Linked DNA regions of Mus musculus. The protein of the gene in region 1 interacts with the protein of each later gene in a biochemical or structural test. Links are inferred from orthologs where the notes say so. Each region holds a gene or a part of one and is shown in the gene's direction. Other genes may lie near its edges. The genes, in order: Dhx9 and Akap8l.

What was found.
Region 2: the proteins of Dhx9 (region 1) and Akap8l form a complex in vitro, tested with the Homo sapiens proteins (2 studies listed by BioGRID). The link is inferred for Mus musculus from reciprocal best matches to the Homo sapiens genes DHX9 and AKAP8L.

The regions. Positions count from the first base shown.
Region 1 is NC_000067.6:153,481,078-153,484,893, reverse strand, and holds part of Dhx9 (ATP-dependent RNA helicase A), read left to right. Parts: intron 1-1,021; 5' UTR 1,022-1,043; coding exon 1,044-1,154; intron 1,155-2,011; coding exon 2,012-2,152; intron 2,153-3,644; coding exon 3,645-3,762; intron 3,763-3,816. UniProt on the Homo sapiens protein: Multifunctional ATP-dependent nucleic acid helicase that unwinds DNA and RNA in a 3' to 5' direction and that plays important roles in many processes, such as DNA replication, transcriptional activation, post-transcriptional RNA regulation, mRNA translation and RNA-mediated gene silencing.
Region 2 is NC_000083.6:32,347,643-32,352,120, reverse strand, and holds the start of Akap8l (A-kinase anchor protein 8-like), read left to right. Parts: upstream 1-1,543; 5' UTR 1,544-1,621; coding exon 1,622-1,634; intron 1,635-4,478. UniProt on the Homo sapiens protein: Could play a role in constitutive transport element (CTE)-mediated gene expression by association with DHX9. Increases CTE-dependent nuclear unspliced mRNA export.

The DNA.
Region 1 (3,816 bases):
GGTTTAGTTTGTGGAGAGTGCTATATGTAACCCCAAGTAAACTTCTGTTCATAGCCATCTTCCAAGTGAAGGTTACTGGGTACCAAAGTTAAAGACGTGAGTCCCTACCTGCCTGGCTTTGTGTGTGTGTGTGTCTGTGTGTCTGTGATGGTATTTCTTGATATAGTGAATTTGAATTTGTGAGTCAGTCACATGGGACTTTTGCTTAAATTTTCTTTTAAAAATATGCCTTTTATTTTTGTGTGTATGAGTATTCTGTGAGTTTGTGTACACTTGGATGCCAGGTACCTTGAGAGGTCTGAACCCTTAGAGCCAGTGATGTTTGCCAGTCGCAAGTGGCTGAATCTGTATCTTCTCCAAGATCAGTAAGTGATCCTAACCACTGAGCCATCTTATCTTTTTTCTATTTCATTTTCACTTAAAATTTCTCTGGAAAAGAAAGTAATAGGGGCTGGAGAGATGGCTCAGTGGTTAAGAGTGCCAACTGCTCTTCTGAAGGTCCTGAGTTCAAATCCCAGCAACCACAGGGTGGCTCACAACCACCCGTAATGAGACCTGACACCCTCTTCTGGTGCATCTGAAGACAAGTACATTGTACTTAGATATAGTAGATAAATCTTTTGACCAGAGTGTGCAGAAAGTCTTGAATTCAAATTCCCAGGAGCCACATGATGGCTCACAACCATCACTACAGCTCTAATGTACTCATATACATAAAATAAATCTTAAAAAAGTAATAGAATGTGACATGGTTCTCATTGCTGGGAGGGATAACTTTAAAGCAAGTAAGATATTCATTGTAGAATGTAGGATACAGCATAAAATATTTGAAATTAAAAATCAGTCTACAACAATAACCATTGTAGGATATGTGTATAATTCAAATTTTACAGCTTGTATCTTTTTTACTACATGCCATAGACTTCAATTATATTAAAATTTCTTTATAGGTAAGTTTAAGAGTAGTGTGATAGAATGTATGAGGTTTTGCTATCATAATGCTTTTAACTTGTTTTCTTAGGTGTGAAGAAGACACCTGAATCATGGGTGACATTAAAAATTTTCTGTATGCCTGGTGTGGCAAAAGGAAGATGACTCCAGCCTATGAAATTAGAGCAGTAGGAAACAAAAACAGACAGAAATTCATGTGTGAGGTACATAAAGAATACAGTTAATTTATATACTTGTGAAGTTCGTCTGGTTTAAAGGAATGTTTTATTTGGAAAGGCTGAACTGTTGCAGGTTGTAGAAGAATTTATTTTGACTTGGCTGGTTTTATTATTTTCAAAGAAACATTATCTTGCAATACTTGGCTAGGGAAATTATTCTAATGCTTAAAAAACTTCCTTGGTGCTAGTAAGTCAGAAGATAAAATGTTTGCAATTTTACATTTGGGGGGTGGGTGTGGTTAGAGTCTTAGTTAAGGCATGCACCACCACCCCTGGGTTCTCTGTTTAGAGAAGCAAAGTATTTAAAAGAAAGGTAGTGTTTTCCCTTAGTTATTATAAAGTTATTATTAAATTGCATGGTTGGGTGTGCACAGAAGCATGTGAAAATCAGGACAGTTTGTGGGACTTAGTTTCTCTTGCTCTACCAGTCTAGGGGATTCAATTCCAGTTCATCAATTTGGAGGCAAAGTGCTCTTGCTTAGTCCACTTGCTGTCTTGTTTCCCCCTAAACCCCACAGAGTTCAGTGGTGGTGGTTTAAGGCCAGCCATTTGATAGGCAAGTACTGTCCACAGAGCTTAGTTAGATACCCAATCTGAAAAAATTTAAGTGTGGAAACCTGAGCCGCTTAAATTGATACTGTTGAACCAGTATGTCAATGAACAATTCAGCTCCACGGTTTTAGTTAAATAATCCATGTGTTGCTTGGGTATGTTAAAGGAATATTTACTTATGTAGTGTGTCTAAAACAGTTGTATTTTGCCTTTAATTGGCCATTTATTTTTTTAAATCCTAGAATTACCCAGCTTTAATTCAACTTTTTTTCCCCCCTTGAATCTTAAAGGTTCGAGTAGAAGGGTTTAATTATGCTGGTATGGGCAATTCCACCAATAAAAAGGATGCACAGAGCAATGCTGCCAGAGACTTTGTTAACTATTTGGTTCGAATAAATGAAGTAAAGAGTGAAGAAGTTCCAGCTGTTGGGGTAAGTATTTATGACCAAGAACTTGATATTTTTGTTTGCTTTCCCCTTTCTACCCTTGGGTTCAAGTTAACAGATTTACAGGATGTGTCTACAAATACACTGTGTGCAGGGGCATTATATGAAAGGATATAGTGGCTATACAAAAATGCATTGAGTTTTAGAGACACAGTTGAGATTTTTTTCTACCTGAAATGTGCAGAAAGAAACCATACCTTGTGAAATTTGTCCTTTCCTAAGGCTACCAATAAGCACTAAAAACACAGCCATTCAGACATGCCCCCAAAGAGTATGAACAGACAGCATTTAAAGTATATTGTATTACTAAGCCATGATGCTCAGAAGTACAAGAAATTAATTTTTGACTCAAAAAATAAAAATTTTCAAATTATGTGTTTCATTGGGGTTAAAGATGTGTGTTCTAAATTCTAATAATGTTGGGAGGGGGGGATAATCTGGGCTTGATGGTGCAGGCCTGTGGTCTTAGCAATATGGCAAATTCAGGCCAATTAGGCTATTGTATGACATCTTACCTTAAAAATAGCAAATTAACCAGAAGTGTTGGGACATTACCTTTTTTTTTTTAAGATTTATTTATTTATTATATGTAAGTACACTGCAGTTGTCTTCAGACACTCCAGAAGAGGGCGTAAGATCTTGTTACAGATGGTTGTGAGCCACCATGTGGTTGCTGGGATTTGGAAGAGCAGTCGGGTGCTCTTACCCGCTGAGCCATCTAACCAGTCCGGGACATTACCTATTACTATTGTCGTTTAAGCTCTCAATTGACTTGGACAGTGTACAGTAAAAGGGAAAGAAACATGTATAATTAACTGTAATAACATTTAGAGATTTCAACACATGGCTCTAAATGAAATTATAAATTGCCTTTATTAATGGTTAACTCATGTATTCTCAGGACTTAGACCCAGAAATTTGGGCAATCCTGATACTATCGATCATGCTGTTTAAAAATGGATTTTTCAAAGGAACAGGCATTTATTCACTATAACATTAAATACTTTATACTTCTGTACAAGATAACTCTTGCTTATTTATCTTTGAGACAAGATCTCACTTTATAGGCCATAGCTCTAACTATCCTGGAACACATGTAGACGAGCCTGCCTCTGCTTCCTGTAGTGGTTTTGGTTTTTTGGTTTTTTTGGTTTGGTTTGGTTTTTGTTTTTTCAAGACGGTTTCTCTGTGTGGCCCTGGCTGTCCTGGAACTTGGATTTGTAGACCAGACTGGCCTCTAACTCAGAAATCCGCCTGCCTCCGCCTCCCGAGTGCTGGGATTAAAGGCGTGCGCCACCACCGCCCGGTTCATTCCTAAGTTACTTGAAACTTTGTCTTCAAACAAAGGCAGAAATGGGAAAAATACTATGGGGAAGGATGTTTAATATATGGGTATCTTTGAGTAGTCTTGAGTCTTCTAGTTTCTGCAAAACAAACAAAAACCCCAAGTACTGACACTTGACTTTTCCTCTTGTAGATTGTACCACCCCCACCCATACTTAGCGACACCTCTGATAGCACAGCAAGTGCTGCAGAAGGGTTACCAGCACCAATGGGAGGACCACTTCCTCCTCATCTGGCTCTCAAAGCAGAAGGTAAGGGACTTGAATATATGTACTTAATGGAGGATAACACAGTCATGCTTGGTC
Region 2 (4,478 bases), on another chromosome or scaffold:
TATTTCAGTATGTTTCTTTGAAGGATCTAGGCCTTTTAAAGAATGCCATTGTTATTACCCCTAAAGAAACTGCTAACAAGAACTGAGAGGTGGCTCAATGGCAAAGAACACACACTGCTCTTACAGAGAACTTGGATTTGGTTCCCAGCACCCACATGGCAGCTCACAGTAACTCCAGGGTATCCAGTACCCTCTTCTGACCACCTCAGGCACTGGGGGTGCATGTAGTTGCATAGACATATATTCAAGCAAAACAAATACATAAGCCTAAAAAGAATTGATAAACATTCCTTAATACCAATAGAACACCTACTTTAACATTTCTCAAAACCATAAGAAGGTACATGAATCATAGAAGCAGAGCTTGCTGTAGTTTATCCATTGTTTTATTTTTAGGGTTCTTCCAAGGATACCTCCCATGGTGACTTTCCACACAGCCAGGAGGAGCCAGGCATAGTGCTTAGAACAAGGCTGGTACTGGGTTACATTTTTCGTTTTGTGGAGCTGAGCATTGAACATAGGTTCTTATGTCAAGCATTTGCAATAATATATGATACATTGAGATATACTACTTGTATAACAAATAGCATACACATAAACAGTTATTTTTAAAGTGGTTTTTGAGAGGCAGGAGAGATGGCTCAGCAGTTAAGAGCACTAGCTGTTTTCCCAGAGGACCCAGGTTCAATTCCCAGTACCTTCATGGCAGCTCAGGGCTGTCTGAAACTCCAGTTCAGGTGATCTGACACCCTCACACAGACACGCGCAAGCAAAACACTAATACACATAAAATTTTCAAAAGCATCTTTATTTTGCAGTTGGAGAGCTCACATAAGGCCTTCTGTACATGCTAGGATAAAATGTTTTTCCACCAAGCTATATCCTTACAAACACTATTAATTGTTATGTAACGATTAATAAGAAAATAATATTTACTATTTACTTTGTGAAACTGGCCCTAATTCTTTACCCCTCCTTGAAACGGGGACTCACTGGAACCCAGAGTGGCTTAGAATTCATATAGTATAATCTGACCTCAAACTCGAGTCATTCTGTCTCAGGCTCCGGTATTCTGGGGTTACAGAAGTCAGCTACTACACATGGCCTTCTTCGTTTGTTTTAACGTTATCTCACATAACGTTTGTCAGGACCTTGTTTAGCAGTTAGATACTAATTTTCTCCTTTCAACATGGCTTTACCATTCTTGACTTCATTTCAGTGGCGGGGCGCAAGACGGTCGTCTCTGCTCACGCTGGCAAGTGTCTCGCTCGCACACACCAGGCGAGCACACGCGTGGGCTCGGACCTCTAGGTTGCATGCAGCTCCGCCCCTTCGAACCTTTCCATCTTCTCCCCTTGGCCTATTGGCGCAGGTTTTTGTTAACAGGAGGCGGAGAGTAAGGCGGGGTCGTCGGGGGTTGGCAGTATCTCCAACCACTGTCACGAAGAGGTGTAAAAATAGACAGGTAGCGAAACCAATAGGCGTGAAGTCCGAGGTTTGCAGAAGCCAATGAGATAAGGAGGCGGGGCTGGAGCGTGTGTGGAAGGACCCCAGGGATTGTTGTGGCGTCAGACGCGCAGAGTAGCGGTCTGTGTCCACGGCTCGGGTGTTCTCTGCGGCCATGAGCTACACAGGTAGGCCCAACAGGGTGAAGGCAGCGCTCTGGGCCGGGGCGTCAGGACGGGCTGAGTCATGCTAGGATCTCCTCTTGTAGTGTCGTGGTCATTGCCCTCTGTGGTCACAAAATGGCGTCTTAGGCTCTTCCCTTCGGGGTCGCATCCCTCAAGCTTCGGCTCTCACTGACCTCAGCCGGGCATCTTGGACTCTCCTGGCTACTCAAGGATTTGCTTGTGTCTTCTGTGACCGTAGGTCTTGGGCCTCAACGTTAGGTTCAGGCTTCCCGCACCTCCGTTCGTCATTCCCTGGCTAGTGCCCCACGGACACCCACGTCTAAGACGTCGCTTCTCAGGCCTGAGCTTCTGAGATCAGTCCGTTGGGGCGGCTGCTGTCGCCATTGCCTCCCTTGAGCAGTTTCTGTGCAAAACGTCGCAGACCCTTACTCATGGCACTCCCCCCACTTCATCTGGTATAAAGCGGGAGGGGGGGAGAGCCAACCTCCCCTACCTCACTCCCCCAGGGGGCGGTGAGAATCTGTAAATCTATATGAAGGCTCTGAACCGTTGCAGGGAGCTTTAGAGAGCAAGCTTGAACCCTGGTGACGAATGACTACTTTCCACTCAACTTACCGAATCAGGTGCTGAATAGACACTGAATGCTGACAAGAATTTCTTAAGCATCTTATAGGCGAGGACAGACAAAATACAATAAATATATTATTTTGGGTCTTGGGTATCCTGAAGAGATTCAGCCATTACACGGAGAGCTTTGAAGCCTCTGGGAAGGGTGACGTTTAAGAAGAGATGTAAGCAAAATAGGAAAGAGTAAAGATAGCTGTCGCTGTAAAACATACTGGGCTGGAACCGCCTACCTACTTAGATCAGTGATATTTGAGCAAAGAGGAAGGTGGGTGAGGAGCATGGTGAGGGGTGTGGAATATGCTTGAGTGACTGTAGAATCATTCTTGAGTGAGTTAGTTGCCAAGGCTCCCTGGGTTTGCCAATGAAACTTATCAGTCAGTGCCACAGACAGTGCCTCCCACTTTACTGGAGGTATTTCAGGCTTGAACTTAAGTGGTTGCTGGATAACCCACATTCTGTTTGGAATGTTTAAGGCTTTCAATGGAACCTGAGCTTTATGCCAGTCCTCCTAAGCCCCTGGGTCAAATGCTTGCCAAGAACCTTGGGATTTTTAACAACCATCCTCTAGGCCAGTGGTTCTCAACCAGGGTGATTTTGCCTGCCTCACACCTCCCAGGGGTACATTTGGCAATATCTGGAGTCCTGTTTTGTCTTATCTATATAATGTGTGTATGGGCAGGGGGGGGGTGGAGGTGGGGGACTGGTATGCAGTGCTACTGACATCTAGTGGATAAAGGGTAGGGCTGCAACTCTGCAGCCTGAAGCGCATAGTATGGCTTCCACCACAACATACTTTACTTTATTTACATGTATCTGTCTGCATCTACATGTATGTGTTTGTGTGAGTGTGTCAGCCATGTATGAAGGTGCCCCTTGGGACCAGAAGAGAACATGGGTCCCTTGAAACTGGAGTTAACGGAGGGTTGTGAGTGAGCCGCCTGACATGGGTTCTAGGATCTGACTCTCGTCCTCACAATTGAGCAGCATATTTCCAACCCTTCAGTGTTTTTTTTTTTTAATAAATTTGTTTATTTAATTTTGTTCATATGAGTGTTTTTCCTGAATGTGTGTGTCTGTGCACTGCCATGTGAGCGCCTGTAACTCTATAAAACTAAGGGTAAAGATGATTATGAGCCACCCCCATGGCTTCTGGGATTGGGGTCCTGGCCCACTGGAAGAGCAGTACTCTTGACCACTGAACCATCTCTCCAGTTGCACTCCCCACCCCAGTGGTTTTTATAGACAGCTATTAAATCATTAGTACTTAAAATTTAAGCATCTTGAGAAGGCCCTGGACCCCCAGGGGTGGGAAAAATCTAATTGGACACAATCTCTTTAGGAAGGATGGCAAAGACTCGGTCTCTATATTTGTGTTTTCTCTTTCCCCAAGACCTGGGCTCAGTTCCTCTCCTTGGAAAGTAAAGCTGAAGTTGAGTCCACAGCTTTCTTTTTTGGAGTCCTTGTAGCTGGATGTATTTGCAATTCTACCCTGAAGAAGTATGGTCTCTTCACCTGGGGTCAAGGTGGTACCCTGTAACTGAATACACTAGGGACAGCTTAGTGATGTAGTGTTGGCCTAGCTTGCCAAGGCCTTGAGATTAACTCAACTCAAGGACCTCAAAGCAGAAACCGTATTGATTTTGCACCACATACATAAACGGTATTCATTCTCCCGGGTCCCTGTGGCCTCGGTGTAAAATTGTTCACGTTTGCAGAGGGCACTTACTCTGCTTATGAACTGCTATGGTTGGAAGCCTGGAGGTATCCAGCCTCCTTCCCAGTTCTGAGAGTCCTCGATTTGTAGTGTTTTGTTTTGTTTTGTTTTTTTTTTTTTTTTTTTTTTGGACTTAAAAAGTACTGACTTTTCAAAGAATTTTGGACAGGGAACAGGGTCTTAATGAGGATGAACTGAGACCTGCAGCTAAAGCACCCAGCAGGGAAGCATTTATTCAGTGTGCAATATTGACTATGGTTGCTGTGGTTTTGTGTGTGTGTGTGTTTCAGGGGTGTCTCACCCTGTTTCAGCACCTTGAACCCATGGCAGAACTTGTGCCTCAGCCTCGTGAGTGCTGGCATGTAGGCTGTAACCTTCACTGAGCAGCAGCAGTATGGGAATCTGTACCCACATGATTGGTGTTTGATATGCTTCGGTTGTAACTTATTTTTATTGGAAATGCTGTCATTGATTTTTGAGTCAAGGGCTTAGTGTTTTAATCATTT